Diceros bicornis minor: one gene and its partners. The protein of the gene in region 2 interacts with the protein of the main gene of each other region in a pairwise test. Links are inferred from orthologs where the notes say so. Each region holds a gene or a part of one and is shown on either strand. Other genes may lie near its edges. The genes, in order: RIC8A, NUTM1, SH2D4A and ZNF277.

Region 1 (6,880 bases), on a different chromosome or scaffold from region 2:
TCAGGACCCCTGGCCAGGAATAACCACCATCTCTAGGCTGAGACTGTCGGTTGGAACAGACAGTGCTGCCTGGAGCTTCACAGAAACACCCCTTCTCTATCAGCTCCAGGCACCTCAGACACCAGACGTGGCCTTACCTAGACAAGGATGGGGCAGAGGTGCCTGGAGACATCAGAGCCCCTAGGGCTGGGGGAAGGACTGACCACAGGTAGCCACGTCCAGGATTCCTAGCTCCTTTGCTCAGACCTGGCTCTGTTGGCACCTCTAGCACCTGGAGTGGCAGAGGGTGCTGGGCCTTGGTTTCCCCAAAGGAAAGGGTCCCATGTCTGCATGGGACCAGCAACATGGGACAGCCAACATGATCTCACTGGGCCAGAAGCAGCCATGGGCTCCCAGCCACACAGGAAGAAGATTCCTAAGCCACGATCATCGTTCCAAAGGAGTATTTTGTAGGAAGGTCCTCTGGAGCCCAGGACACCAGGTAGAGGAAGATGCTGGTTGCCCTGTGCACCCACAGACGCCAGCTCCCACTGGTTCACGTCCTTGCCCTCGACAGAAGGTAGGAGAGGATGAAGAAGACCACGATGAGTCCCAAGGCCATACCGCACAGAAGCTTCCGGTTGTCTCGCCCAGATCGCGCCATTGTGGAAAAGCGCTTCACACTCCCCGTGAGCAGGCCCGTCATGCTTGTAAAATCCGAGTCCTGAGGGAGGAATCCCAACACGATCACACAGGGGTGGACCCTCCAAGACCCACAGGAGAGTGCTGCAGGAGACACTGGGGACCTATATAGCAGGCAGTGTGGGGCAGAGCTGACCGAAACACTCACGCACGCTGCAGACCCTTACCATGCCATCCAGGTACCGGTTCTGGTCCTCTGCATCCCTATCGATGTCCAGGGCAAGCTGATCAGGACACAGAGGGGGCAGGGTCAGGCCAGGGAAGACACTGGATGGTGCTTGACCCTCCATGAGACCAGCAGACCCAACCAACGATTCTGCCAGACACAGTACCACCAGCAGAGATCAGGAGGTCCAGGTATCACCTAGGCCTCACACAAGAGAGTGCTGCCACGGATGGGACAAGGAAGATGAGAACTACATGAAACCCTTCCAAGCCTCTACCCTCCCTCTGATCCCTGCTCCAAGGTGCCAGGTGGAGGTGAAACAGGAGGACCACCACTGACCGATTTGAGCCTGGTGACCTTGGAGGCCAGGCTGTCGGCCATTCGCTTGTTCTCCCGGTCTAGAATCTCCTCCACAGCGCCAGGGCTCTGAGCTGCAAGGAGAAAGAGAGGCTGAGGGGTGCATCCACCCATGAGCACTGCCCTTGACCCCTGGATGTCAGCCCTTCGTGGCCTCAGGACTCTCTCACTACAATCCCATATACCTGAGTCGGAATCTGGCGGGACTAGGCCCACCTGTGTCTGATGAACAAGTCCAGCCCTAACCCAGGATCCGGTGTAAGGACTTCACACACACGTGAGACAGGCTGTGTCAACAACAGCGTGTGCGGGCACCCATCACGTGACCACATGTCCTGTGTACACATCCAGGCCAGGGTGGACAGGCATCCCCAACATGTACAGCCTCAAAGGATCAGCCCAACCGGCACTTTCTGATACTCTGTGACAGAACCTGCACCATCCCTCCACAGACATTACTATCAGCGTACAAGAGACCTGTTCCCAGAGAAAAACAGTAAACTCTGGTATGGACCAAGGAAAGACTGGTGGGGGGGCAGCAGGAAGACCCCTGCAGGGACGACCTGTGAACTCGGTCCTCAAGAGATGACAGGTAACCAGGGAGGAGACAACTCAGCACAGCTCCCCAACACCCAAAAACGGGGGCGCTGAGGTCGATCCCGAGGGCAGGGCCTGGGCCTGCTCACCTCTGCACCCCACCCAGGGCCTTATATGACACCGAGCACAGTGCTTGCTAAGACCGGTCCCATGACTAGGGAGCGGCCAGGCGGTTCGGCATTACTGTCACATCAGGTGGGTGAGAACCGCGTCCCCCCAGTTCCGAGTGCAAACTTGCCCCGGGCCAGATGCCTCCACGTGACCCATCTAATGGGGGTGCAGCTCTAGGAACCACAGATGGATACAGACGCCAAAGGAAGGAGTGTTGGCGTTCTACCAACCCCCTCACGTTCATTAACTTCTCAACGGTCACAAGAGCCCGGCGAGACAGGCATCAGCATCCCACATCGCAGACGAGAACACGGGCTCCCAGAGGGCGAAGGGGCTGCCCTCCCACCACGCAGCCTCCCTCCTAGGGGCTGGCCTCCGCGACCGTGAGGCCGGCCGGGGTGCCAGCAGAACCATCTGACAGGGACAGAGGGGTACGAACTCCGGGCAGCCGGGCCCCGCGACGCAGGGACCCCACGACCCGCCCACAGCGCAGCCGCCAGCGCCCGCAGGGCCTCCCCGCCGAGACCACCCAGCGGGCTGGGCCGCGCGGACGCAGCTCTTGCGGGCAGCGGCGTCGATTACGGCCGGCCCCGACGCCATCCGGCTCTGCTCTCCCGCGCTCACCGCGAGCCCAGTCCGCCATCGTGCCGGCTCCGGGCCCCGGCTCCGTCGCCTACCCGGCCCCTGCCGCGGCGGACGTGGCGCAGCCGCGGGAACGAGCTTCCGGCGTCGCCGCTTCCGCCTTGGCCCCGCCTACTTCCGGCGGAGGTCACCGCCCCCTCCGCCGCGCGCCCGCCGACTTCCGGCGGAGGCTCCGGCCGCGGGGCGCAGGGCGCCCGGGTGGGGACGGAAGTGGCCTGATGTTGGTTCCTCCGCCTGACTAGGACCGCCTAGGGTTAGCGTTTTTAACGCCAGCTCCGGTGTCCAGACGCCTCTATCAGCCACGCCTCCGGGACGGCGTCAGGCCCGAAGTGGGAGGAGCTCGCGGGCCCTCTCCCGGGCGACGGGCGGGGCTGGGCGCGCCGAGGGACCGGCCCCGAGGTCCCCCGGCCCGCCGGGCTGCGGCGCGGTGACTGCTGGCGGACCAGGTGGTGCTCGGGGCCCGGGACGCCCCCGACGAGGACGGGGAGCCGGACAGTGGGTGGGGCTGCTGCTTGTGCGCTGGCGCCGACCCAGGGCCCGGCCGAGTGGACGCTCGACCGGCGCCTGTTGCAGGGCAAGTCGCCCGCCACTGCGGGGGCATCCGCTGTATTACTGAGTTCTCCCGACAACCCACTGGAAGGGCGACTTTGGTCTTCTCTGCTCTTCGAGAAAGAGGCCTGAGTCCAGGCCGATCGTGTGTCTGGGTTGCGCAGCGAGGAGCCGCCGCGCACTGTGGAGCTCTGCTCTCCTCCTGACCCTGACCGTAAGCCTTCCTCAGCCCCAACGAGGTCCGTTTCTCTCCCACCTGGCCGTTCCCCCGTGCCTTGAATGCCCGTCCCCAGATCTTCCTGGCTCCCCTCTCGTCCGGCACCTCAGACCTCTCTGCAGCCCAGCAGCCTCTCCTCTTCCAGTCACGGCACCGCCTGCCTAAAATCGTCCTTGTTTGTCCTCGCCTTGGGAACATAAGGTCCGCGAAGGCAGGGTCCGCGGGTCCTGTTCGCCCGCATCACGGCGCCTCGCGTGTAGTAGGCGCCCAAACGCCCGTTTAACAAACCAAGTGGTGCGGGGGCTGGCAGCCCTTCCCACCGTGGCTGTACCCGCGACATCCTGTCCGTCCTGTTCATCAAGAGGGGCGGGGGGTGGGGCTGAGGTCGTCTCCGCCAGGAATTCCTGCCCGAGAATTCCCGAGGGTCACTCTTCGGTTCGGGGGCGTCTCGGGACCTGAGGTCGGACGATCACCGAGTCGGATCTTGAAGCCCGGGCGGCAAAGCCTTCACGCTCTAGGAGGCTGTTCCAAGTCTCGCCACCTTAAAGCGCGCCACCTTAAGGCGCGCGCTGCCCCGTCCCGGCCTCCCCCGCGCGCGGAGCCAGGGCGGGGCTGGCGGACTCAGGCCCGGGGCTGCGGAGCCACGTCCCGCCTTCCGGGCGCCAAGTACTGGAGACGCCATGGAGCCCCGGGCGGTGGCCGATGCCGTGCAAACGGGGGAAGAGAACGTGGTTATGGAGGCTCTGCTCGCGTACAACCAGGAGGTGAGCGGGAGTCGTGGGGCGCGCAAGGAGGCGGTGGGCCGGGTGGGCGCGGCCGGCGGAGGGGTGGGTGACTGCGGCGGGGCCCGAGGGTGGAAGGGAGCGGCAGGAAGGGGCGCCGAGCCTACGAGGAGTCGCTGGTTGGAGTCACGTGCGCACCTGGGGGCAGGTGTGCGGGGCGCCATCTGTTCGGAGCGGCGCCTGCAGCCTCGGGCCTCATCTCGGAGGCCGGGATCTGCCCGTGCGGACCTGCGCTCCATGAGCCCCTGGGTTTCCCTGCAGAACTCCCAGAGCTTCACATTCGATGACGCCCAGCAGGAGGACAGGAAGGTGGGTGCTGACCGAGGGGTAAGGGGCAGAGACGGGGGCCCCGGGTCGGGGAGCCTGGTGGAGCCGCTCTACTCCCCGCCCACAGAGACTGGCGGAGCTGTTGGCCTCGGTCCTGGAGCAGGGCTTGCCACCGTCCCGCCGCGTCACCTGGCTGCAGAGCATCCGCATCCTGTCCAGGGACCGCAGCTGCCTGGACCCATTTACCAGCCGCCAGAGCTTGCAGGCATTTGCCTGCTATGCTGGGATCTCCGCCTCCGGGGGCTCGGTCCCCGAGCCCCTGGACATGGACGTTGTCCTCGAGTCCCTCAAGTGCCTGTGCAACCTCGTGCTCAGCAGCCCGGTGGCACAGGTGCTGGCAGCAGAGGCTCGCCTGGTGGTGAGACTCGCAGAGCGCGTAGGGCTGTACCGCAAGAGCAGCTTTCCTCACGACGTCCAGTTCTTTGATTTGCGCCTTCTTTTCTTGCTAACTGCGCTTCGCACCGACGTGCGCCTGCAGCTGTTTCAGGAGCTGCGGGGAGTGCACCTGCTGACAGATGCGCTGGAGCTGACCCTGGGAATGAGCCCGGAAGAGAGCCCCCCTGCGCTCCTTCCTCCCCAGGAGACTGAGCGGGCCATGGAAATTCTCAAAGTGCTCTTCAACATCACTTTCGACTCCATAAAGAGAGAGGTGGACCAGGTAAGAAGAGAGCTGATCTGAACCCGTGGGTGGGGCTTAACAGCTTGAATGTTTCCTGGATCTGCTTCCCTGTTGGGTGCCTTCAAGTTTCAGGGTGTTAGGCTCAGAGAAGACTGGAGGAGGCGAGGAGACGCCTGGGTAGGGGCCCCAAGGAAGGTTTCTGAGGGAGGTGGAGAGCACATTTGGCTTTTGGAGCCTGGCAGGAGAGCTGTGTGATACATGGGGACAGTGTAGGAGATTCCCAATCACGAGGCTGTGAGCATGGGGTCAGAACACAGAGTGTGACTCAATCCCAAGGACATCTGTTGACGTTCTTAATCAGGAGAGTGCTTTTCAGGTTGTGTAGGAGAGGCGGAGGGGCCGGGTGTGCAGTGGGGGAGATGTGTAATCGGTGCACTTGGTCCTGGAGTGGGGCAGACGGTGGAATCTCAGCTGGCAGCAGGGGGACAAGTGGGGCTCTCTCTCACAGGAACCTCTTACTCTTTGGTCAGGAAGATGCTGCCCTTTACCAGCACCTGGGAACCCTTTTGCGGCACTGTGTGATGATCACTGCTGCTGGAGACCGTACAGAGGAGTTCCACGGGTGAGGGTGGGGCCTGTTGTGTTGGGAGGGAAGTGTGCTCACGTGTCTAGATGGTGGTTGCCAGCCATGGTTGTGGACAAGGCTCCACCCTAGCGAGTCTTTACCCATCTGGGTGGGACTAGACATCAGTGGGTTTCCAGAGAGCTCTGGCACTTAGAGTACATGGCTAGGACGAGAGCCACGAGTCTGGGAACAGGAGTGTGCCCCAGGACCTTAGGCAGGGGCAGTGGATGGTGTAGTATCTACAGGGCAGTGTAGGTTCCTCATTCCTGTTCTCGGTGACCTGTCCCTGGAGGCAGGTTTTGGTTTTCCAGAGGTGGTCTGTGGTGCTTCAACCCAGACAGAGGGTCATAGGTGAGGTGTTTGCATAAGAGTGCCCCCCTCCTCGGGGACCCACTCCACTGAGCAGGAGTGCCCCCTGAGAGCAGTCCTCTCCTCAGCTCGGGCCCCTTGTGCTGCTCCTTAGGCCCCTGGACACTGGTTCACGTCACATGCAGCCCCAGCAGGAGGTACCAAGGGTTGTGCCTGTGCTGGGGGATTGGATTCACCAAGCCCCTCTCCCCGTCTGTCCTCAGCCACACGGTGAACCTCCTGGGGAACTTGCCCCTCAAGTGTCTGGACGTCCTCCTCACCCTGGAGCCACACGAAGGCTCCCTGGAATTCCTGGGAGTGAACATGGATGTGATTCGTGTCCTCCTTAGCTTCCTGGAGAAGCGTCTGCATCAGGTAGGCAGAGGGGACTTGCTGTGTGGGCTCCCCAATGGCTCTGGCTTTGGCCTTCCTGAGCAGCTGTGGTCACTGCTTTTGTGCCGTCCACGTTAGTGAGTGAAGATTAGCTCGCCAGTATGATTCAGGTGATCCTCCAGCTGCTCTGTGGTCCAGCCAGGCAGGAAGCCAGACCCGTCCTCCCTGAGAAGCATGTGGACACTCCTACACACACACTTGAAGGTTTCGCTTCTGGTTACTACAAGGAAACAAGTTTTCAGAGTCTGCTTTTTAGATTTCTTTATGGATCTCTCTGGCATGGTGTTGAGAAGCCCCCAGTCCCTGCCTGTGATCTTAGACTCTTAGTGTTTCTGTGCACGGGCAGCCCTTGGTGACGAGCATTGGTTGTCCCTAGACGTCCCTGAGGGGACCCACAGGGACCTCGAGCCAGAGGCTTCCTGATTCCTGCGACTGCACCATAGGATATTGGCCGTCCAGGGCTCTG
Region 2 (7,464 bases):
TGGGATCTGCGAGGAGGCGGCTAGCGGGTCGAGAGAGCTCGGACTGCAGCTCAGGGTTGTGGCAGGTCGCTGCTAGTCCGGCTCTCTGGGTTTCTCCTGCGTGTGACAAGACCGGCCACCCTCTGCCGGGAGATGCTTTCTCCCCTACCAGAGCCCCGCCGCAGGTCAGCCCCTCGCCCTTCTTCCTCTGGGTCCCAGCAGAAGAGGAGACGGCGTCGCAGGCTGGCTCTGGCTGAGCAAGAGGCGGCGGCGGAGAGGAGAGGAGGAGGTCGCAGGTGCGGGATCCCGGCGCCAGCTGATGCGGGTGCGCGCGCAGCTGTTGTTTACGAGCCGGTAACTGCTTCCGAGCCGCAGCGCGCGCAGGCGGGCTCGGGCTGCCGGGGAGGGCGCCCCCTCCCCTGCCAGACGCCACAGCAGCCGTTATGTGACCTCGTCGCCCCCTCCCCGGGCCCGAAGGGCTGTGCCCGCGCAGCCGCAGCCCCACCCTTCCCTCCCCGCTCGTCCCTCATTCGAGGGTAACGGTCCCAAGAGAAGCGTAGGGGAGCGGTCTGAGGGCGGCACCGTCCCGCAAACGCTAGGAAGCCCCGCCCAGCCTCTGCAGCCCGCGAGGCGACGGAGAGGGCTGCGCGCATGCGCTCGCCCGGGTCGCGGCGGGACTGGTGGGCGAGGGGCGGGGCTGAACGCGGCAGGCCCGGAGCACGAACGGAATTGGGGGGGGGGGGGGGGGCCGGTTCCTGAGCTGCGTGCGCTGGAGAAAACTCATCCTTTTCCTTCTTGGTTCTGCTGTGTTGCAAACTCACTCTGGCGGCATCTCAGAAAGCAGGCGACACACTTTGCCCTCAGAATCCCAAAAACCATCTCTCTCTTTAATAAGAGTCTCTGAAAATACCATTCAAAATTTCTTTAAAAATCACAAACTTCCCAATGCCATATATCTAGGTATGACTCTCACTGGAATTTTTATGTTGAGGTGTATTCTAAAGCATTGTGTCCTCAAATTTATACACACTTTGTGCTACATTTCTTTTTCTTGTCCTTTAAAAAAATGCTGTCTTTCACAGTATATACATCTATCAAATCAAGTTGTACACCTTAAATATATACAATTTTGTCAACATAGCTGGAAAAAAATGTTATGTTCACTTTCTAGTCAGACTTTAAGTTCCATTAAAGAAAATGTTTTTCATATTAGACCTGGAAAAGATATTGAGATACTTTCTGTTGACTATTGCCATCAGAATATTTTTCTCAGCATGTGTATTTAATGCATGAGTAAAGGTGTTCAATACATTTTGAGTCATCAATGTTTTGTTAGGAGGTTATTTCCCATAGCTTTGGTCAAGGCATTTATTTTATTTTATTATTTTTCGTGTGTGTATGAGGAAGAGCAGCCCTGAGCTAACATCCATGTCAATCCTCCTCTTTTTGCTGAGGAAGACTGGCCCTGGGCTAACATCTGTGCCCATCTTCCTCCACTTGATATGGGACACCCCCACAGCATGGCTTGACAAGCGGTGCGTTGGTGAGCACCCAGGATCTGAACCTGGGCCACCAGCAGCTGAGCGCGCACACTTAACCAGTACACCACGGGGCCGGCCCTGGTCAAGACATTTAAATTTAACAATCTGGGTCCTAGCTTTGCCTAGGTCCTTGCCCATCCCAAGTGGAAATGTTTCAGCATCATCCTTAGCAATAGATCAAACAGTATTTAAGACCTGAGCCAGGATATTCCCTTTTATCAAATGACACACAAAGTCCAAAATCTGGTTAAAAAGATCCAGGTAACAAAATGAGAAATAAATTCCCATTTAAAATGTAAACCTCCTCAAAGCTTGATTCTTGACAGGTTTCCTACCTGAGAAAGCAAGAAATTCACCTCCCTGAGGGATCAGTTTTTTCCTCAGGCAGGCCTGCTATTCATTCAAATCTCACAGACTTTCCCTTTATAAAGAAACGCTGAATTTTTTACAATATCCAATTTTGTTTCATAACAGTGTATTTTCATTCATTTATATATACTACCTAATACCAATATATTATACCTCTTAACTGTTTCTGAGCACATCTCAGAGATGTTAATACCTAGGGGGTCTCTTAAAGAAAAAGTCCTCGGTATATTGAAACCAGTTTGCCTTTTCTCCTCTACTTTGATTAGGAATATTTCCAGGTCAAATCTTTTCATTTCAGTCTACACAGCAGGTAGCATGGAACAATGCTAATCCTTTTTCTTTTTTTTTTTGGCGGGGTGGTAACTTATAAAGACAGAATTACAGTCACCATTAAAAAAATTGGTAGCAGAATTCATTTACTGACTTTGGTGCTTAAGAAATCTTCCTTAGCAGATCCTTTTTCTAGTCATTTGCAGAATTTTTAACCTTTCTTCAAAGATTATCCCCTTAATAGGATAAAGTAACTCTTTAAAATCCCTCAGATCCAATACTAAGAACCATGTAAGTGAATAGACTAAGAAATAAGAAATTTTTAATTAACCCCCACACTACCTTGACAAACAACAAAATCTCTCATATTTCATCTTCTAAATTAAGATCCATGAAGAGTTCCAAATAGCAGCTAGCTGCCAGAGAGAATATAAAGTTAGGTGTATGTAAAAAGACAATTCCTTGATGGAGAGAACAAAAAACCTGGGATTATTTCCAGAGGGGAAGTGAATATGCATAAAGGCATTGCTATTCACAACGGCTGCACAAACACTGTAGATATATTAAGATCCACCACTGAACCCTATCAATTTTAGAGTTGGAAGAGAACTTAGAAATGATGAGAAAAATGAGACTGAACAGGTTAAGTGACTTTCTCAAAGTTATACAAAGAGGGGAGAATCCTGGTCTCCTGACTTCCAATTCACTGCCTTCCCTCTACAAAATAGCTATTATTTTTCAAGCAACTCTTCCATTTTGAGTCAATGTCATTTCAAGGGGCAAGAAATTATTTAAGTGACAACAGGGGTATTTTTCAGAGAATGCTGACAGTTGTGGACGCGTCTTTCTCAACCTTTCTTCCCCTTCCTCAACACCCTCCTATCACTAACAGCACAGCAGGACTCCTGCTGCAGCAGCGACTCAAGTTTTTCTTCCAAGTGAACTTGCTGTACCTTTGGGAGTACTCTTCCCTCTCAGCTCCTTCGTTTTTGTCTTTGTTTTTAAACCACTTCTTTCTTCCCACAACATACAAAACAAGAGCTCCTTCAAATCATTTTAATAACTTGGCAGTGACTGAAAACATGAAAAGAAGATTCAAACTTGTTCCCTTTAAGGGAGATGCTACCATGATTGCCTCACACAAGCATGATCAAAAGCAATGATGAGACCGGATTCCACAGAGCAAGGGTGGTCAGAAGGCCTCAAGGCTCACAGATTGAAGAGCGTGGTTTCGGAAAGTCTCTTGAGGGGTAGCAGGCGGCAGAAGACACACGAAATTTAAGGGACTCTCAGAGGACAGGGCGCGGTTGCTGGGTCATGAGCACCTTGAAGCGTTTCTTGATGGTGATTCGGTGTCGAGAGTATTTGTCGTCTGGGGAGAACCGAGCAGGATGGGCCGAGCAGGTCTGTTGTCCCACAGGGTCAAGCTTCTGCTCAAGAAACAGAGAACATCAGTACAGGAGTGATGGGAAAACTCAAGCACCGGCGTCTAAAGGGAGATGGAGGCTGGGATGGGGAGGGGGCCGCGCAAAAAAAGGTAAACAGGACAGAAGACGTGACGGACAGACGAAGGGGTCATACACTCCCGCTTCTACCACGCCTGGCTTCTGGGTTTTCTAGTTCGCCTCACCCAGGGAGGCAACTCGGTGCCTGGTCTCAACCGCTGCTCCCACCTACATTTCTCGCCATACCCATTCACAACCTGTTTCCTCTACTCACCTTAAGCGTATAGACCCGGTCTCCCTGCTCGTTGAGATAATACTGGAGGAACATGATCAGACTACAGCCAGAACTTCCAACTCCGTGCGCAGCTCCGTCCAACAGACCGCCTCACGTGTTTGTCAATTTCCTTCCTGCATAGCCGGAAGTCTCTTTCTAGGCATGCCGGGAAATGTAGTCCACTTAGGCCTTTCTCCAGCTGGCCAAAAGGGGGAGCCCTAGTGCAAGAGTTGGCCCAGTTGCAACCCAGTTGCAACTTTGCTGGCGTTGGCGCCCAGTTGCAACCTTGCAGGCGTTCAGAGACGCGTGGAGTGTGCCCCCTGTGTGCCCGACACTGCTAGGCTGCTAGGCGTTAGAGGGGGGTAAGGATGGATATGAGTTGAACATTGATGAATAGAATCCTGTCTTTATTTCAAGATGCACACCCATTTCAGGGGCAGTGTGTTTCTAGTGTCTGGAGAAACAATAGCTCCAGGATCCAGAGCCCCTTTACCTTAGGGAAGAAAGAAGAAGGTTTTCTTCCCTCCTCTCTTTTACATCCGATCCCCGCGCCCTATTTCAAAGTATTGGCGGTAAAGAGTGCATGATGGGTATTCAATATTCTGTACAGCGAGGAGAGCGTGAAGTTATTTTATGAAACTGGTGAAGTATGTTTTAGAGGTCGAACCAAGATTCAAACTCAGGTCTCTTTACCACAAATTCAGCGCTCTTATGGTGGTGAGTAGCTAATAATAGCATAATAAGATGTACCTCCGAAGGGTATTTCCAATTTTTAAAAGAACGTAGAAATTCTCCTTATAGGACTCTAGTTTGAAAAACGAAAATTGGAGCCCAGATATCATTACAAAGATGATCGTTGCAGTATTATGTATAATAGCAAAAACATTGGAGCATGTATTAATTTTATAACCAGAAAAACTGAAAGACTTTATTTTTTTTAAAGAATATAGTTTGTATTCACTTGTAGTTGCATAAAATATCTCTGCAAGGATTCACAAGAAACATAATATTGGTTTCCTCTGGGATAAAGAACTCCGTCCCAGAGGAAAGGAGTGGGAGGGAGACTTGCTGTATATTCCATTTTGCATAGTTTGACTTTTGAACCATGCTGATGTATTACCCATTTAAAAAATTAAAATTATTTAACAAAATTTTAAAACAAAATAATTTAACAAACAAAAGGAAGGACTTTTTGGTCTTGAAATTTTAGGCTGAATGGCAGTTTTTGATAGAGTGGGGCTTTTCAGCCAGGGGTAAGGCTGAGCCTTCTGTGGACTGCAGAGCTGATGGAAGTGGACTGTTGGGGCACTGCAGGACAGCTTTCCAAGGAAATGATATGCATACAGCAATTGAACACCCTGGGTCTTATGAGACAACCCTAATTTCAGACATTCTATTCCCTTGATCCTTAAGTACACCAGACTATGTGCTCTGAATTTGGTTCAGAAAATATAGCCAACATTGAATTAAGTCAAGGGTCTGCCACAACCTGCTATTAATGGGAAATCAGGTACAGAACTGGATGGGATTGAAGGGCACAGAACTAGATATATTGGTGAAGAGTTGTATAGGGTACTGAGATGTAAAACTATAATGTTGGGAATCTGAGAACGAATATACAAATATCCCTAAAGAGGTACACAACAATTGTGTTGCCATACTCTGGTTTGGAGGGAATTCCTTGTTACTGCTTACTAGAACCCTTTGTGGAGTATCTCCCTCCCCCCACCCCATATTCTGCTGTCCCCTCCCCCACTGCAGAATGCCTTGAGTCCTAGATTCTAGTTCTGTTTTAATCTGATCTTTACCCTCCCTTCCTTGGATCCCTGTGCCTCTACTGGAGCCAGATTACTCTCTGGGTCCTGAACCTGACTGTCTCATTCTGGAGGCTTCCAGACAGCCACGGTTAGCGCCCAAACCTGAGAGGATGGCTTCAGATGGAAGTAAGTCTGCAGGTGGGCGGGAGGGTCCCTGCCACCTGCTCACATCCTTCAGGATTAAAATTTGATGCTTTACTTGGGGACAGGCTCTTTGGGCTGATCTAGAGGGATGCGAGATCACTAGAGACCTCACCAAAGGCCTCTCACTGGGGGAGGCTGGGGAAGGAGGTTGTGCCATTAAGACTGGGGGTTGGGGAAGGAAGAAGGCCTCCTGGGAGACAGATCAAAGCACCTCAGAGGAAAGTGCTGATGATAGAGAAGGAATGGCAGTTAACAACTTGCTTCTCTGGAAGAGGGACCCTTTTAACATATGCTTGTGTGGCAGGGGCAGGAGTATGTGTGGGGCCCAGAGAAGGTTCAAGGGGAAGCCTCGAGTTCCTGTGTCTTCTTTAGGCAACCGGAGGGTGCTCTAGAATTTTGCCCTGAGAGAATTGAGCTGGGGCCATTCTGGATCTTACTGAGGGGGTGGGGGGTGGAGGCCTTAGCTGGAAAACTGTTCAGTGGGGTTATCTGTTGCCAAGTCTGTAGAGAAATGTCCTCCCGAAAGCTAGACTGGAAGGTACTATAAGCGCCTCTGCTCAGAGCCTCATGGCTCCTTCCAGCCCCAGAGATGGCTTCTCTCTCAGTTCAGGGAGCAGTTTTCCTTGATTCCTCCGCCAGGGCCAGGGGAGGTGGGTCACTCCAGCCAGTACAAGAGCTGGGGCTTCCCTGAGATGCTCTCAGCTTTTCTACCTTTTGTGGAGCTCAGGCATTCAAACCCATTTCTTTGTGTTCCGTACTTGGTGGAGTACTCCTGGCCCTCTGCTCTGTGGTTGAGATGACGAGTTTGCTCATATTCCGTGTCTCCTTCATGGTCTGGAAACGGAAACTGAGTGTTGTTAGTTTGCCAGTGGGATATTCTTTATAAGAGGGGAGGAGAGTAGCATGAAATTAGACAGATGATCTTCTATTGTTATTGTTAAAAGTCCTAGGAGACACATGTCCTGATTAATTAAGTACACGTTTTGTGTATTTATCTTTCGTCTCTTTGACTGGAGTCCGCTTAGCTCCTCCTCAGCAAGTACTGTGTTTTGGACTTCCTTATCAGTGCCTTGTTCATAGTGGGCCCTAAATTTCTGATGTTAGGAACTTCAAGCAGAAGGATCACAGATAGTCTGCATTGCCAAATTTTAACATGTCCAGCAGCTACTTGAAGCTCTGGAAACCTCCCTCCCCACACCACCCTGCCCTTGCTCATTTCCTGACCCTTATCTCCAGTCATTCCTGGCTGTTATATAACAGAAGTGCTGGGAACCAAACATCTAATCCACACATCCTCTTCTGGGAACAACACTTCTGTGAGTGGTGGCAGGGACCACAGAGCAGCTGGGAGTAGGGTTCAGGTGGTTTGAATGTGTTGGGAATGGATGGGAATAAAGGTGTACCTGTATGCTGGGTGCAATGAGTTATGGGGCATGAGCTCATAGGTCCAAGAATTATTGCAGCTTCTCTAGTGCAATAATTCTTAACTGGGAGTAAGGGACATCAAGATCACTTGGGGGACATTGCAAACTATACAAGTTCTCTCTCCATATCTCCTCCCTCACCTGTTGAGAATCGGAACTCTGATTCTTCAGGGACTAAAGTGGAACTCTGATGATCTGACT
Region 3 (6,935 bases), on a different chromosome or scaffold from region 2:
AGCCTCAAGTCAACAGTTCCTTTGGGCCACAGGCTGCTTCCCGCTGCATTACAGAAACACAGGAAAGGAGGAATGTCTTATCAGCAACCCAGAGCACGGATTTTGAGGAAACAATTCCATAAAGGTAATTCAGGGGAAAACATCAAAAATTATAGTCTAATTAATTCAAAGATTCATGTAAAGACCAATAATTTATCTTGATATTTATGAAGATGAAAAAATGAAAGCCCACATAGAGTCATAAAGGCATGAAAATAGTTCAAAATCAAATCTAACTGTTGGCAGAAAACCAAAACGTAATAGATCTTCAATACATTTTTCTATGATTAATAACTTGACAGAAATTTATTTTGAGATTTGATCAATTTTTAGTAAAGCTGAAATGTTTTAGTCCTTTTCTTTCACATCTACTTCATTCACTATGGAACAAACGTAGAACTTCTTTAAGAATTAAAAAAGTGGTTGGGGTTTCTGATGCTGACTATAAAATATGACAGGAAAAATATTATTGGTGTTTATCCTATTTTCTTTTATAAAGAAAAAGTCTGAAGGTAACTTTCATTTTCTGGAGAATTTAAACACAAATTGACCTTTACTTATGAAAAGTGAAAAGTGGCTTGTTAGACTTTCTGGTAGCAATCAGCTGCTGTGTACATAGCTCCCGGGGGTGCCTTACACTCTGTGATCTCTGCCTGGTGCACCTCCAGTTGTGCAGTGCCATGGCTGCACATGACAGCCCTGGGCAGCACCGTTCTTAAGCAACATTCTAAAAGGAATATCAGCGAACATGTCCCTTAAAATGTAGTCTATTTGTTTTGTGGTGTCCATTACTACAAATAAACGACAAATTTAAAAAATTAGTTAATTTACTAATTTACTATTATTACTGTTAGATATTAATAGTAAATAGCTAGTTAGCTTTTCTCTTGGAACACTGGCCCTGGATGGGCATCAGGGCAGCCCTGAACACATGTTCTGGTGACACCTATTGTACATGTCTCTGACTTGCCAGCGGTAGATGCCCAGCTCCCGTCCCCTGCCAAGGCCTGGTTGCCCAGACCTGACCTTCCATTTGGAGTGTTGCTAGCATATGAAAGCAGCAATCTTCTCCACAATGCATCCTGGATCATGGAGTGGAGAAATGCTTTCTTCTGAAAGCACTGGCCCAAAAGGAGGGAAAGTAATTGAGGGCCTCATAAGTAAGTAACGGAGGCAACTGGTGTTTTTTAGAGCAATATAAAACGTTCTAATTGTCTACTTTTGAAATTAAGGAAAAATATATACTTTTTCTTCCCCAGATTATGCCAACTGAAAGAGGAAATACTGGGAGACAGGAGAGAGGGAACAAAAAAGAAAGGTGGAAGAGGAGAGGAGAGACAAAGTGAAGAGGATGGAGAAAGAACCACAGAAAGAGGAGGAGGAGGAGAGAGAGATTTACATATCCAGGAAAGAGGCACACGACAAGACGACGGACAGGAGACAAGGAGAGAAAAGGGAAGAGATACTGGGCCCCAAGCTGAGGGAATGATTGCACTACTTGGGTACAGGCTGTGTTCATTTGGGCTGTTAACATCCATTCAGCTAACGTGCTCCGCACATGACTAGTCTTGCTGTCAAGACGTTTACAATCGCAAAGAGGCAGAAAATATACACACAGCTACTATACAAGGCAGTGCTGCATAGAAGACGGCAGCAGGGGCCCTGGCTGTCTGCTCTTTGTCACCCGCCCCCCCCGCCCCCCTCTGTCACCACACAGCCTGGCACCTAGCGGGTGTTCATTAGATGGTTCTTGGATGTGTTAAGTGCTAACCTGTGATACAAGTGCTCTGAACATGGAAGAGGCCAGGACTGTTTCCAGCTGGGGGGAGGATAGGCAGGAAAAGGTTCCTAAAGACTGATGCTTGAAGACTAGGTGGGATTTTCATAAGCCAAGTTGTGGGTCAAGACATTTTAGACAGAGGCCAGTGTGGAGCCCCAGAGCCTGTGTAGGTTTAGGGCCTGGAAAATGCCAGATTATCTGAACAGAGGATTGTATTAGGAAGATGATAAAGCTGAGGGAGATTAGTGTTAGATTGTCCTGGTCCTTGAAAGTTGGCAAGAGGTTTAGTCTTACCTTGGACAAAAAGGAGGGGTGAGCATCAAAGATCTTTTAGCAAGTAAATGAAGGATCAGAGTTAACGTTTAAAAAGATGAATTTGACAACTGCATTCAGAAACGTCTGACCTGGAGAGCCTGGAGCAGAGTTGCTGAAAGCACAATCTATAACCCCTCTTGGATCCAATCATTTGGAGTGCTTGTTCAAAAGGAAGATATTCTACTGCTTTGCTCTGAGGTGAGACCCCGGATCCATGTTTAAATAAGCTATCCAATACATGAAATTTCCTGCATATGAAAGCTAGCTAAAACTGGCTTAGAAACAAGACCAGTGTGGAGGTATATCAGTTATCTACAACTGTGTAACAAATTTCCCCAAACAGTGGCTTAATATAACACAAATTTACTCACTTCCAGTTGTGGGTCAGGAATTTGAGAGTGGCTCAGCCAGGTGGCCTCATGAATTTGCAATGATGCTGTAGACCAACGCTGCACCCCTGAGTGGGGCTGGAGGGTCCACTTCCAAGTTCATTCTGTGGCTGTTGGCAGGAGTGCTCAGTTCTGTCCTCGGGGCCTCTCCATAGGGTTGCTCATGACAGAGCCGTTGGCTTCCCTCAGAGGGAATGATCCAAGAGAGGGAGATACACACCTAAGACAAGCTACAAGATCCTTTATAACCTAATCTCAGAAGTGACATAGTAGGAGATGGGGATCATTGAGGCTAACTTGGGAGTCCAGGTACCACAGGAGGCAAAATTCATAGCCTGGGTGTGAGGTGGTAACTTGAAACTACAGTATGTTTTGTGAAATATTATGAGGTAATGTGTTTGAACACTTACCACATCCAGGAGCTGTTCTAAGCACTTTACATGTATTATCTCACTTAACCCCCAGAACAACTTAATCAGGTAGGCACTGCTGTTATCCAGAGGGGGAAACTGAAGGATAGAGAGCTTAGTAGCAAAGTGGGATCGCTGTTATAAAGAAGGACTTGTTAGGACATAGAGATAGGTTGAGTGTGGAGGAAGGTAAGTGGCTGTTACCAGTGTCCTGTGGAATTTTTACTGGCTGATGAAGGACCCTTTATAGTTCTTCAACTGTTCAATCCATCAAGTTTTAGGATTCATTTTGAGCTGGCCACAGCAGCTAACCAGGGGCGAACGACACTCCAGCCAAAAGCACCCCACATGCCATTTATTTAAAAAGCAGTGGGAACCAAAGCTAAGCCAGAAATCCTCCCCTGATAGGATCTCTAGGGTGGTTCCCAAATAGTTAGGTCTCTCAAGGACTGATCTCTGCTCCAAGGCTCTTTCTAACTTTGAGTTTCTTCTGCAGTCTGGAGAGGCTAGGAATGAGAAAGTTTCATTTCCCAACAGAGCAAGTCAGCTCCTGAATTTATCAGGGAGGCTGTAGAGAAGGACAATGAACGCTCACTGTTTATTACTCCTCTCCCCAACACCAGTCTGTGGTTCACTAAAGCAGGCCGTTTTTCTCTACACATTCTGAATGTTCCCCCTCAATGGAAAACGCCCTGCAACCTGTCTACTCCGCTACTGCTGGACTTCCCTCCAGGATTTCCTTTTCCTGTCTTCAGTCAGCTCCTCCCTTCATGCACCCCTCGACCTGTTCCTGCTACAATTCACAAGATTCCTTTACCTTCTTGCCTTTTTCCAGACTTCTTTCATTTTTCTCTCCCTGTCTCTTGTTTTCAGTCTCCATCATTCCAGCCTTTCTCCTCCTTGATCCTGTCCTACAAAGCCACACCTGTACTGACAAGTGCCCCCGAGTTTGAGTTGACTTAATGTCAACAAAAGAAAAAAAAAAGTAAGCTCCAGAGACGCAGGAGCACAACCTGAGAGCTGAGCCGACTTGACCTGCGGGACTCGGTGTAACTGAGACCTGCCCGCCGCCGCAGGCTCCACCTCGCTCGAAACCCCGGCTTCGGAGCGGGAAGGGGCCGGCCGCCGATGTTGATAAGTGACGCAGGACCCGAGATGGCGCGACAGGCCGTCACAGATGCAACTGGGGCCGGTGGCCTTGCCGTCCGGAGCACCGCGTCTGCGGCCTGGCGGGCGACGGGCCCGGGAGCGCCTCCGGCGCGGGCGGGGCCGCGACCCAGTCAGTCCCCGGCACGTGGGCGCGGTGGGGCGGCGCGGGCGGGCGGGGGCTGGGGACGCGTTTGCCCACAGCCCGGCCGAGTGTTTGTGCAGCCGGCCTGGGCCGCCCGCGGGCGCCTCTGCCTTCCCCTCCCCGGCCGCTCCCGGCGGCCCAGCCGGACGTGCGGGGCTCGGCGCCCTGCTAGGCGGGCCGGCGCCGCGCACAGGTAGGTGCCGGGCGGGGACGGGAGGCCGGACGGCGGAGGCGGGGCAGCCCGCGTGTGGGGGGTGTTCTGGGGGGAGAGGCGCGGGGCGGGAAGCCCGGGCGCGGCCGGCACGCACCCCCCACGGCCCCTCCGGCCGCGGGCTCAGGTGTGGGGCTGGGCGGGCGGGCGGCCGGCGTCGGGTGTCGGGTGTCCGGAGCCGGCGCGGGGGAGAGGCGGCGCCGAGGGCCGGGGCTGAGCTCGCGGGGCGGGGGCGGCGGGGGCGGGCGCGGGGCCCTGGGAGGCGCGCCGCGTCCCGGAGGGGGTGTGCCGCGCGCCACGCGGGGCGCCGGGGGCGCGGGGCGGCCGCGGGAGGGTCTGGGCCGGAGTTCCGGCGCCGGGAGGAGCGCGGCCCGCCGTCCCGCGGAGCGCCGGGGAGCTCCTCGCCGCGACCGTGCAGGCGAGTCCCCGCGCCGGTCCGGGGGCGCCGGTCCGGGGGCGCCGGGGCAGGGCCTGCGGCGGGCGGGCGCCGCTGGAGTCAGGGCGCGCCGGGCTCGGCCCTCAGCCCAGGGGCGCCGAAGGCGGTGGGCGCGGAGGCGCAGGGACGAGTCCCCCTCGCAGGTTTTCTCGGGGTCGTCCTTCCCTCCCCGAGGGTCCGAGGGAAGAAGCCAGCGTGGCGCCTCTCTCTTTCTAAACTTAGAGTCTCCTCACCTCCTAAAAGACTTATTTGATTGCCTGTTTACTGGCAATAACGACTTGGATACAATTATTTTTTTAAAGTGAATAAGTGGAAAGCATATGTGGGCAGAGTTGGCATGACTAGAATTTTCTGGATAAATCTGTGGGTACAGTAATTTCCAATTTTTGAGGAATGGTGTACATTTACAAAACTTACCAAGTGTGGTGTCACCTCTAGTAATTCCTTTTTATCCTCAAAAATAGCCCCTTTGCAGAGAGATTAATAAGGTAAAGTCGAATAAGGTAACAAAGTCTGAAAACGGAGCTGGGCTGTTTTAAAAGAATTAGAATTCAAACTATATTCTTAACATTAAAGTTATACTGTCCGTATTACAGTATTTTAATGATTTAGGCTGTATTTCAGGCTTTTTTTTTTAGGTCTCAGAGTCATTAAAAACACAATTATTCTTTCATAGAACAGGGCAGTGGAAATTGTGAGAGTCAGGCCAAATCTATAGGTATCTTGGAAAACAACTGATCCTATGATCCTTTAGAGATTTATTTTTGGAATAACCAGCAGATGTAGGCTTGTTGCTTGTCATTTCTCTCTTTTAAGAAAAGTGCTGTACAAGAAGAAAACCAAGTTAGCCAAGCTTCTCTTTTTTTACTGGATCTTGAAAAACTGGAAGTTTGCTGCACTCAATATGTTACACAGGGCCAAGTCATTGAGTTTGAATCAGCAATGATTGTCCTGCCTGGAGTGAAAGTGGGAAGAATCCTGCTTAGTTAATTTCCTTATGTCCATTTCCTTGATGCTGGCTCCACTTGTCTTTGTAACTTCTGGTTGGATTTTATGGTATAGTCCTCAAATTACAAAGATTCACAGTTCAGGCCCTCCTTCACAGATGAGGAAACTGAGTCCAGAGAAGTGACAGCGTGAAGTTACACAGCTCATGAGAGACAGAACTAGGAGCCCAGGCTGGGGTCCCTGCTGGCTGTCCTGGGAGTGCCCTGGGCTGTGTTTGAGTTTCTGTCTGAAAGCATACGGAGGAAAGAGTTCATTCACACCAGTGGGAATCAGCAGCCTTAGAGTGGCATGCGTATTATTCAGCATCCTGACCACAAGATGGTTGTTAGCTGGGTCCCCAAGTAATCTCTGAGGACACAGGAAAGCCAGTGTCTTTTAAGATCCTCTAGTTAACTTTGACGCTGAAAATCCGTGTTTGCCACAAAGGGCAAAACAAAACAGAATTAAACCCGTGGAGGAGCTTGAGCATCTCCTCACAGGGGCTGTGGAGCTCTTCCCATTGTGAGAGGCTGGGCCGTTGGTGCTGTCCCGGGGGGTCGTGTGTGAGGGGCAGCTGGGGAGATGAGTGCCCAGTGAATCCAGTGGGCAGACAGCGTCCACACCTGGGCCAGCAGGACAGTAAGTTCCCTGCTGTCCTTCCTGAGGTGGGGCCTTTTCAATTTTGGCCTCCCCTAAGCTTATCTGCAATCCCCGGGATGAGGCTTCTACCCCTGGGAGGCTCTCCGTCGGTTCAGCATGTCTGTCGCTGCAAGAATTTGCTGGTTTTCATTCCGAAATTTCACATATGGTACCTCATCCTGATGGTGTTCTGATTCTGGGCTCACAAAGAAACTCCACTGTCCTGGTGGAGTACACTAGAGCCAACTTAGAGCCAGACTGCCCAGCTCTGCCACTTGCCGTCATCTTCATCTGTAAAATGGGGTGATGGGGACTGAACTTGAAGGATTATTGTGAAGGTTAAATGAGTGACTGCACGTCAAGTGCTAGGGTAGTGGCAGCACAGTCACGTCACTCTTGTATCGAGAGTACTCTGGGTGGGGTGAGGGGAGGAATGAG
Region 4 (7,681 bases), on a different chromosome or scaffold from region 2:
CCCGGGGTTCGCCAGTTCGGATCCTGGGCGCGCACCGAAGCATCGCCTGTCAAGCCATGCTGTGGCAGCATTCCATATAAAGTGGAGGAAGATGGGCGTGGATGTTAGCCCAGGGCCAGTCTTCCTCAGCAAAAAGAGGATTGGCAGATGTTAGCTCAGGGCCCATCTTCCTCACAAAAAATTTAAAAAATAAAAAAATAAATAAATAGGGCCGGCCCTGTGGCTTAGCGGTCAAGTGTGTGCACTCCGCTGCTGGTGGCCCGGGTTGGGATCCCCAGCGTGCACCAACGCACCACTTCTCCGGCCATGCTGAGGCCGCATCCCACATACAGCAACTAGAAGGATGTGCAGCTATGACATACAACTATCTACTGGGGCTTTGGGGGGAAATAAATAAATAAATAAAATCTTTAAAAAATAAATAAATAAAAAGGAATGGGATTCCTCCTTGGATGAGTTCCAAAACCACTTCTAGAGAAATGGAGGAAAGGAATATTTGTGAGGACTCAGTGATACCCTAAGACTTCATTTTTAAATGACACTCGTGACCTTCAGATCAGCTTGTTCTGAGGTTTGTTTCTTGTAAGGCTCATGGATTTTTTGCACTGATCAATCCAGCCCATATTCTCTCTCTAAGCTTAAACAGGCTCACACATGTAAAACATCTGGCCGAGGTTGAGAGGTGCAGCTTGCAACTCAGGAAGACTCACCGGCTCACCTGGGAACACTGTGCATAAATGCCTACCGAACAAAGGAACACAGAAACATATCCGCAATGGGCTTAACTTTCTCTGTGACACTTGAAGGGAGGGGAGGGAGTATGACAGATGAGGGCAAGCAGGAGGCAGACAGAGATCGTGAGGACATCTGTGAGGGGGCGATCAACAATGCTGCAGTCACTGCCCATGGAGTTCCTACTGGAGAGAGAATCAAACAGATCGAAAAAGTAAGCAACCAGCATCTCGGTTCTGGCAGCTTGCCAGGTAGCTTTTGCTTACCTCTGATCTTGCTTAAGAGCTATGTGGGATGTGTCACAGCAAAAGTGTCCCTCTCATAATAAACTCTACAAGTGAAGATGTTTTTCTAACCAACGGATGCATTTGTTTGGAAGAGCTCTACAGAATCAGAACCCTGGATATCATTTGATCCAGAGGCTGAGACCCAGAAAGGTTAAGTGATTTACCTAAGGTCACACAGCTGGCAGCAGTGTCTAGACTAGGATCAAGAGCTAGGCAGAATCTCCCAAGATAAAATATGCCTATTATTGTGCCTACTAACATGTTTTAAAGAGACAAAGTTCCCTACCCCTCTGGACTATAGTTTTATCAGTATACCTTTCTAATTCCCTAGAATCAGAACACTTAGGTATACGACTAAGTATGTAACGGTTTAAGACCATTCACCAATTAAATGAAGAAGACAGTGCCTACACATCAAGTTTGAAAAGGAATTTCTATCTCTAATATACCTTACTATAGGTATGAAATCTAAGTAATTTTACCCATGTTTATAGTATGTGGCTTGAAACTGAAACAAAAAGATGTAAAGACATAATTATCTCATACATAATTGATAGTAGATAGGAAGTATCATTGTAGAAATATACAATTTGTACTGAAACTTCAGGTATTCCAAAGTTACAAAGACCGATTTATTTCAAAGAATGAGGAAACCAAATTACTACTATATCTGATATCAGCCAAACATTTGGGCCCATAAAGTATCTTTTCTGTAGTATTTACAAAAACTCGATGAGAAAAGCACACACACTAACCAAGGTTAAAAAAAAATAACAACTTGCAGCATAGGTAGCTACAAATAGTGCTCTCCATGGTGAGAAATAAAGTCCATATAATTTTCACAACACACACACACCTAACAGATGGATTCTAAAAAACAGCTAAGCATTCCATAAGCCAAATGCTCAAAAAGTAATAAAAGATGATTAACATTCCTGTGTACGTGATATTGTATAAATGAGTACAACACACCCCTCTGTGCTCCCCCCTTTCATCTCACTCAACCTCCTTTTTCCAAACATGTGCTCACCCTTCCACCTCCCTCTACTCTGCAACCAAATCACAACCACCCAAAAGCGAGGTGTCTGCTGCAGCCCAAAACACTTGACTGATAATATCCGGTTTGCCATTCCAGGAAATCCCAGAGTGGGTTTTAACCCTCTGCCCACAGCTTGTAAAGAAAGGCGAGAGAAGAACTAATCGATACTAGCACCCCAACTGTGACCTGGCACATAAAGAAATCAAAAAAATAAACCCCATTCCATAATCTGTATAATTTAACACTTGGAAGAAAACAACATCTGGGATTGACTCCAAGCGGGACACTGTTCCTGGATGGGTCTGGGCTTCCTGCATTGTTAAATCCGGTGACAAGGGGACCCTCTGCTTCCTCACTGGTTCGGCAAAGGCAATGTCTTTACCTAACAAGGATTAATCTACCCCCAAAAAGGGGAGAGTGAGGAGAGGAAAAGAACAACCACTACCATCTACTCCTTGCCAGTAGAGTGCCTAGCAAAGGTTCCCCTTACACTTTGAAGAGAAGGAAGGCTGGAAACCCTTCTCAAAGGTGGGTCCAGAACAAACTATTGTCTTGCTAACCAGTCACAATCTAGAATGGAAGCTAATGTAAAATATGGAAAGGACTTTGTTTAATCAATCATACAGTCCTTTCAGTGAACTCCAAAGTCCTATCCCTAGGACAAGTTGGAAAATAAAAAAATCCTCTTGACTATGACTCCCTGGAAAGGCTTTCTACATTTTTTAAATTACAGGGAAATGAATTTAGAACATAAGCAGATACCTACATATCGTCTAAATCACTAGATCTGTACCCAATTTTTTTTAAAAAGCAGCAAATCGGGAGGACAGGACATTACAGAAAATAAAGACTTAGTAAAATCCATAATGCTTTCTCTCTGTTAAACCTTCTGAGAGGTTATAATTACATTTGGCCGCTGCAGGCTTGTCAGAGAGCCTGGCTTCTTAATACACAACCCTAAAAGGAGTAACTGTCAAGGGGCGACCCAGCTGAAATCAAACAACAAAAACGGGAACTGTAATCGGCCTGAAATGGGAGGAGGAAAAGGAAGGGAGACTCCTGTATTCATCAGTCAACATTAATGTCCTTTGTTGTTCACCTTTGCACAGAACAGCGAGCGCTACCCTGTGCCTTTTCCTCCGAACGCCAGTATCAGGGTAGTCCTTTCCTAAAAACTGTCTCCTTGCCTCGAAGACCCAGGCTTTCCAATCCCCCTCCCCATTACCACTCCACAGCCGTCCGCCACCGCCACCCCCACCACGCTCACCCTGGGCAGAGAAGGTGGCCAGAAGTAAAAACATTGCTGAAATACCCGTTCCCCTCCAAAGAGCAAAGCGGCGCAGATGTTGAAATTTACCAACCGCCCCCCCATCCCCGGTCCCTCAACACACACACCCCATAAACCCGGGATCGGAGGGAGAAGGGAGGCTCGGGCCGGGCTCCGTCTGTCAGAGCGGCTCTTTTGAGGGCTGTGCCACATTCCGCACTCCGGGAATGTTGATGGGAGCCAGAGAAAAGGTTTTGCGCCTCCCTTCTGTTTTGGGGGTGTTCCCCCTGCGCGGTTGTTGTTGTCTCCCTCTCCACCCTCGGAAATCGTTGCAGTCCATTGCCGTCACCCCGCCGCTTTGGAGAAGAAGGACGAAGGAGCAGAAGAACGCCGTTCGCCCTCCTCTCCCAACTTGACACACACACGCCCCGTCGCCGCTCCAAACTCCGCAGGCAGAGCCCCGAGCGGGCGGGCTGGCGGCGCGCTTCCCCCAGACGTCCCGGCACTCCTGGAGCCGGTGCGGGGAGCGCCCATCCGGCCGTGAGGGGCGACACCCCGGCGCGCGCCCCTCTGCTCGGAGCTGGCTCGGGAAAGCCCGAACCCGCAGCGCGATGCCAGGATTAGGCATTTACAGCCCGGCGGAGGGAGAGGGACGCGGGGGCAAGGACGCGAAATGCGCACCCGCTCCGGCCAGAGCGGAATAAAAGTTCGCCCCGCGAAGACTTACCCACGCCGTATTTCTCGTGCTCCGTAGGTATCCACATGGCTAAAGCGGGCTCCCGGGTCTCCGGGCTTTGTAATCCCCGCGCCCCTTCTCCGGCTCACAACAATGCACACTCCCGAGGAGCGGCTGCAGCGCTGGAGCCCGGCGGCTCCGCGCGGGCTGCGCACTCTGGGCAGGGTCTGCACTGGAGGCTCCCGAGCCCGGCGTTGACACTGCGCGGCCAAGGCTGCGCCGCCCGCCGCTTTCCAGGCGGCAGCTGCTCACAGTCCTCCGACGCGCTCCCGGGGACCCGGCGGCGCAGTCATTGTTCTGATTCACTGAACTAAGCGAACGCGCCGGGGCACTCTCGGGCGCTCCCCCGCCCGCCAGCGCCTCCTCCAGCCCTCCCTGCCCAGCGCCCCCGCGGCACGCTGGGAATTGTAGTTCTGGGCCTCTCCATCCAGGAAGGGGGCGTGGCAGTAGCTGTTGGGGGCGGGGATTAGGTTCCTCTCGCCACGTCCTATTGGCCCAAAGCGTGACGGCGCGACGTGGGCGTGGAGGAACCGCTGCGTTGATGGGGAGTTCTCCTCCAGTCGCGTTTCCATTGGTTCCGGACCGCACCCGCCCCGCCCCGCGTCCCTCCCTTGTCTTTTCGCCCGCGTAATGGCTGCTGCCGAGACCCAGGGGGCTGCTACCCGAGGGGAGGAGGACAGTGATGGCAGCCGTAGCGGAGCCGGGGATGTCAGTTATGAGGGTGAGTACGGTGCCCCTGAGGTGCAGGTGGTTTGTCTTCCTTTCTCTAGGACGAGAACTGCAGCTGACCGCTGGGCGGACCCCGAGAGCCTTCCAGCTGGGCGAAAGGGGGCCGCAGGCGGGGACCACTGGGACGGGGTGAGGTCGGAGGCGGCTACTTGGGGGGGGCTGTCAGGGAAAAGAAGAGAATATGGGTTGGAATGACCTTCCCCGCAGCCAGGGAAGTTCCTTGGGCCTTTGTGTTCCGTTTGGAGCTCTCAGCTTCGCGCTTGCTCTCGAGTGGGTGTGGGTCAAGTCAGGTTCGTGCACGTGTGATTATAACTCTGGGATTAGCAGCTCTTTTTCCTCGAAATGCCCTTCCTCGCCTCGGTTTGCTTGGTTTGGCCTCGGGAGATATGTTTTATTTGGGTTCGGGCGGATTTCCAGTTGCAGACTGGTCACTGCTCTGCACTCTACAGATTTGTTCAGTTGCTGGCGAGAGCGGCCTCTGAAGGGCAAGTGTGCGCGTGCCTCTCACAGCCTCCTCTGTCGCTTGTTGACTGCCCCGGGCGTTCTCCAGGATTGAACGTGGAGCCTGGGAAGTCTTCTCAGGCCGGGGCCTTATGGCAAGAGGAAAGGAAGTGTTTTGCACTTGTGGCTTCAGAGAAAAATTTGAAGGGGGTTATGAAAATCATCACAGTTACTTTGGCTCTACTTGACTTTCGAGTTGTCCTCTGATCCACTGTAGAGATCAAAAACCAAACTTTGAAAGCTGCAGGAAGGTTGTCTTTAGGATTCCTAGCCCCATTCTCTTACCTTTAGTCTATCCCCCGCCTTCTTTTTTTTTTTTGCTTTGATATGTCATTTAGCACGGCAAGTTGTCTTTTTCTGATGGGCTTAAATTTGGTTCTTAGTCCTTCTTGAGGGTTTTTGTTTGGTTTTTTGGTTTCTTTGTTTCCGCTTTCTTGGTTAAATGGACATTTAGTCTTAAATTTTCATCTCAGCAGCACAGAGATGAAGTGTAATTTCTTCCCACTTCCCGTCAATGGAATGCCCTAGCCCTGAAATTATTTCAATACCTCTACCAAAGAAATCTTTGGTAGGCTCCTGAGTTAAATCTTGAGTTATACCCACACTCTAGACAGTTCATTATTGGGTTGGCCGTATAGTCAGCTCTTAGGTGATGGTAACAGACTACAGTATTAAGGTTTTCCAGATTCTCAGAGTTCCAGAGGGCTGAGTTTAAAAATCTAGAGATGGAATCTTTGGTGAATTTATCTCACACATTAACTCATAAAAAAGAAAATTGGGTATGCCTTTCAAAAACATTGTAAAACATTTAAAAATCTTTAGTTATTTTAAAATTATAAAAGTTTTCATTATAAACATTTCAAACTGGTCAGAGGTGTGTAAGGTAAAAAAAATGAAAATTCCTTCACCACACAGTCCTACTCCGCAAGTAACAAGTGGTAAGGGTTTGGTGGGTGCTCTTTCTGACATTCCTGTATGACACACATCTGTATGGTTTTGATTTCTTAAAAAGAAAACAAAAAGGGTTTATTCTATGTATGCTCAAAGATCTGCGACCTTTTTTCTCCCAGTGATGTGTTGTAGACACTCTTCCATGTCAATACATTTGTTGCTTCCTTGCTTTTAAGGACTGCACCCACTGTATTCCATAATATGAACGTGCCATACTTTAGCCATTCCCCTATTAATGACCATATAGTGTGGCTTTAGTTTTTCAGTTATGTTGTAGTGAACAGCTTTGTATACAAATCCTTGACCACTGGGTGTGTATTTCTTGAGGAATTGCTGGGCCAAAGGTTACATATGTTTAAAACTTTAACAGATGTCAGATTTTCTCCTTGAAAGGTATCAGTATACATTCCCACTGGTATCATATGAGTGTCCTTTTCCCCATATCTTCACCAACTGTGAGGAAATTATTAATCCAGGTCCAATGTTTAAATGATTATTGAATTGAATTGAGTAACTGATAGAAAGCTTAATTGTAGGTTCTAATTTGTTTTCATCAAAAGTACTGAGCAGCAGTGAATTTGCAGTATCTGTAACATAAAAACATTCCTCACCCTGGCTCAGACCTGCCCAGTATTCTCACTAATTTGTAGCATTTTTGGAAGAGGTTACTGGTTGATGTTTATGTCATTCTTATAAGGTAAAGTTATCATTAAAAGTCCCCTTAATAACCTGTGTACCATTCTGAAACTTTATCCGATTTTTTTCAAAGCCTGCAAAGTGATACAAATTTTGCGTGAAGACAGTATTAAAAGTATACTCATATTTTTTGTTAAGCAGTCACTTAGGTTATCAAGTATGTCTTTCCCTGTAAAATCCTTAATTTCTTGAAAACTGCCTGTTTTAAGAGGTTTCCCTCTAGCTCTAATTAAAGTGGCAATCTGTGTGTTTAATATCCTGGGACAGAAGGGGCTAGGGAGTCTTGTTATGGAAATGCTTGCAGTTTCGTAAGATCTCTGCTAGAGCGAGTCACTGGGTGGTATGCAGGCAGGTACAGCACCTTCTCTGGGACCCGTGTTTACAGATTTCCTGAGGTGCCATCCCTCTCCAGGAAAGTTCCTGATCTTGCACAACACTGCTTTCTGTACATTTGAGCACTAACTAGGATTTCATGTTGTCCCCTAAAATTAAGAACAAGTAGTAAATAGACTCAACATTTCTTACACTTGAGGATGTGTTATTGGTATTTTTTCTTTTGCTGTTTTTCATTAGAAGGCAGTAAGATAGCACATCTATAGTTTATTATTTGGCAATACTGGTAGGAAATTTTTGTGACTGAGGTGATTTCTTCTGACAGAGTTAACCTGTGCCTCCATGCTATAATATTCTGACAGAGTCAACTTTTTTCCTTGCAAATGCATGCCTAGTAGATGATGATCTTG

Evidence for each region.
Region 1: the proteins of NUTM1 (region 2) and RIC8A interact in binary tests that used the Homo sapiens proteins (3 or more experiments, as listed by UniProt). The link is inferred for Diceros bicornis minor from reciprocal best matches to the Homo sapiens genes NUTM1 and RIC8A.
Region 3: the proteins of NUTM1 (region 2) and SH2D4A interact in binary tests that used the Homo sapiens proteins (3 or more experiments, as listed by UniProt). The two-hybrid records come from large-scale screens. The link is inferred for Diceros bicornis minor from reciprocal best matches to the Homo sapiens genes NUTM1 and SH2D4A.
Region 4: the proteins of NUTM1 (region 2) and ZNF277 interact in a two-hybrid assay, tested with the Homo sapiens proteins (2 studies listed by BioGRID). The two-hybrid records come from large-scale screens. The link is inferred for Diceros bicornis minor from reciprocal best matches to the Homo sapiens genes NUTM1 and ZNF277.

What each region holds. Positions count from the first base shown.
Region 1 is NC_080770.1:18,590-25,469, forward strand, and holds the start of RIC8A (synembryn-A), read left to right. Parts: upstream 1-3,869; 5' UTR 3,870-4,000; coding exon 4,001-4,084; intron 4,085-4,363; coding exon 4,364-4,411; intron 4,412-4,496; coding exon 4,497-5,087; intron 5,088-5,578; coding exon 5,579-5,670; intron 5,671-6,245; coding exon 6,246-6,396; intron 6,397-6,880. Other genes in the region: BET1L (BET1-like protein), read right to left, coding at 536-703, 849-905, 1,187-1,318.
Region 2 is NC_080744.1:31,626,062-31,633,525, reverse strand, and holds the start of NUTM1 (NUT family member 1), read left to right. Parts: upstream 1-4,464; coding exon 4,465-4,468; intron 4,469-5,725; coding exon 5,726-5,821; intron 5,822-7,464. Other genes in the region: NOP10 (H/ACA ribonucleoprotein complex subunit 3), read right to left, coding at 3,449-3,589, 3,879-3,932. UniProt on the Homo sapiens protein: Plays a role in the regulation of proliferation. Regulates TERT expression by modulating SP1 binding to TERT promoter binding sites.
Region 3 is NC_080768.1:40,644,896-40,651,830, reverse strand, and holds the start of SH2D4A (SH2 domain-containing protein 4A), read left to right. Parts: upstream 1-3,932; 5' UTR 3,933-4,417; intron 4,418-6,935. UniProt on the Homo sapiens protein: Inhibits estrogen-induced cell proliferation by competing with PLCG for binding to ESR1, blocking the effect of estrogen on PLCG and repressing estrogen-induced proliferation. May play a role in T-cell development and function.
Region 4 is NC_080742.1:63,837,207-63,844,887, forward strand, and holds the start of ZNF277 (zinc finger protein 277), read left to right. Parts: upstream 1-4,678; 5' UTR 4,679-4,691; coding exon 4,692-4,782; intron 4,783-7,681. Other genes in the region: DOCK4 (dedicator of cytokinesis protein 4), read right to left, coding at 4,053-4,089. UniProt on the Homo sapiens protein: Probable transcription factor. Involved in modulation of cellular senescence; represses transcription of the tumor suppressor gene INK4A/ARF, perhaps acting via the Polycomb group (PcG) complex PRC1.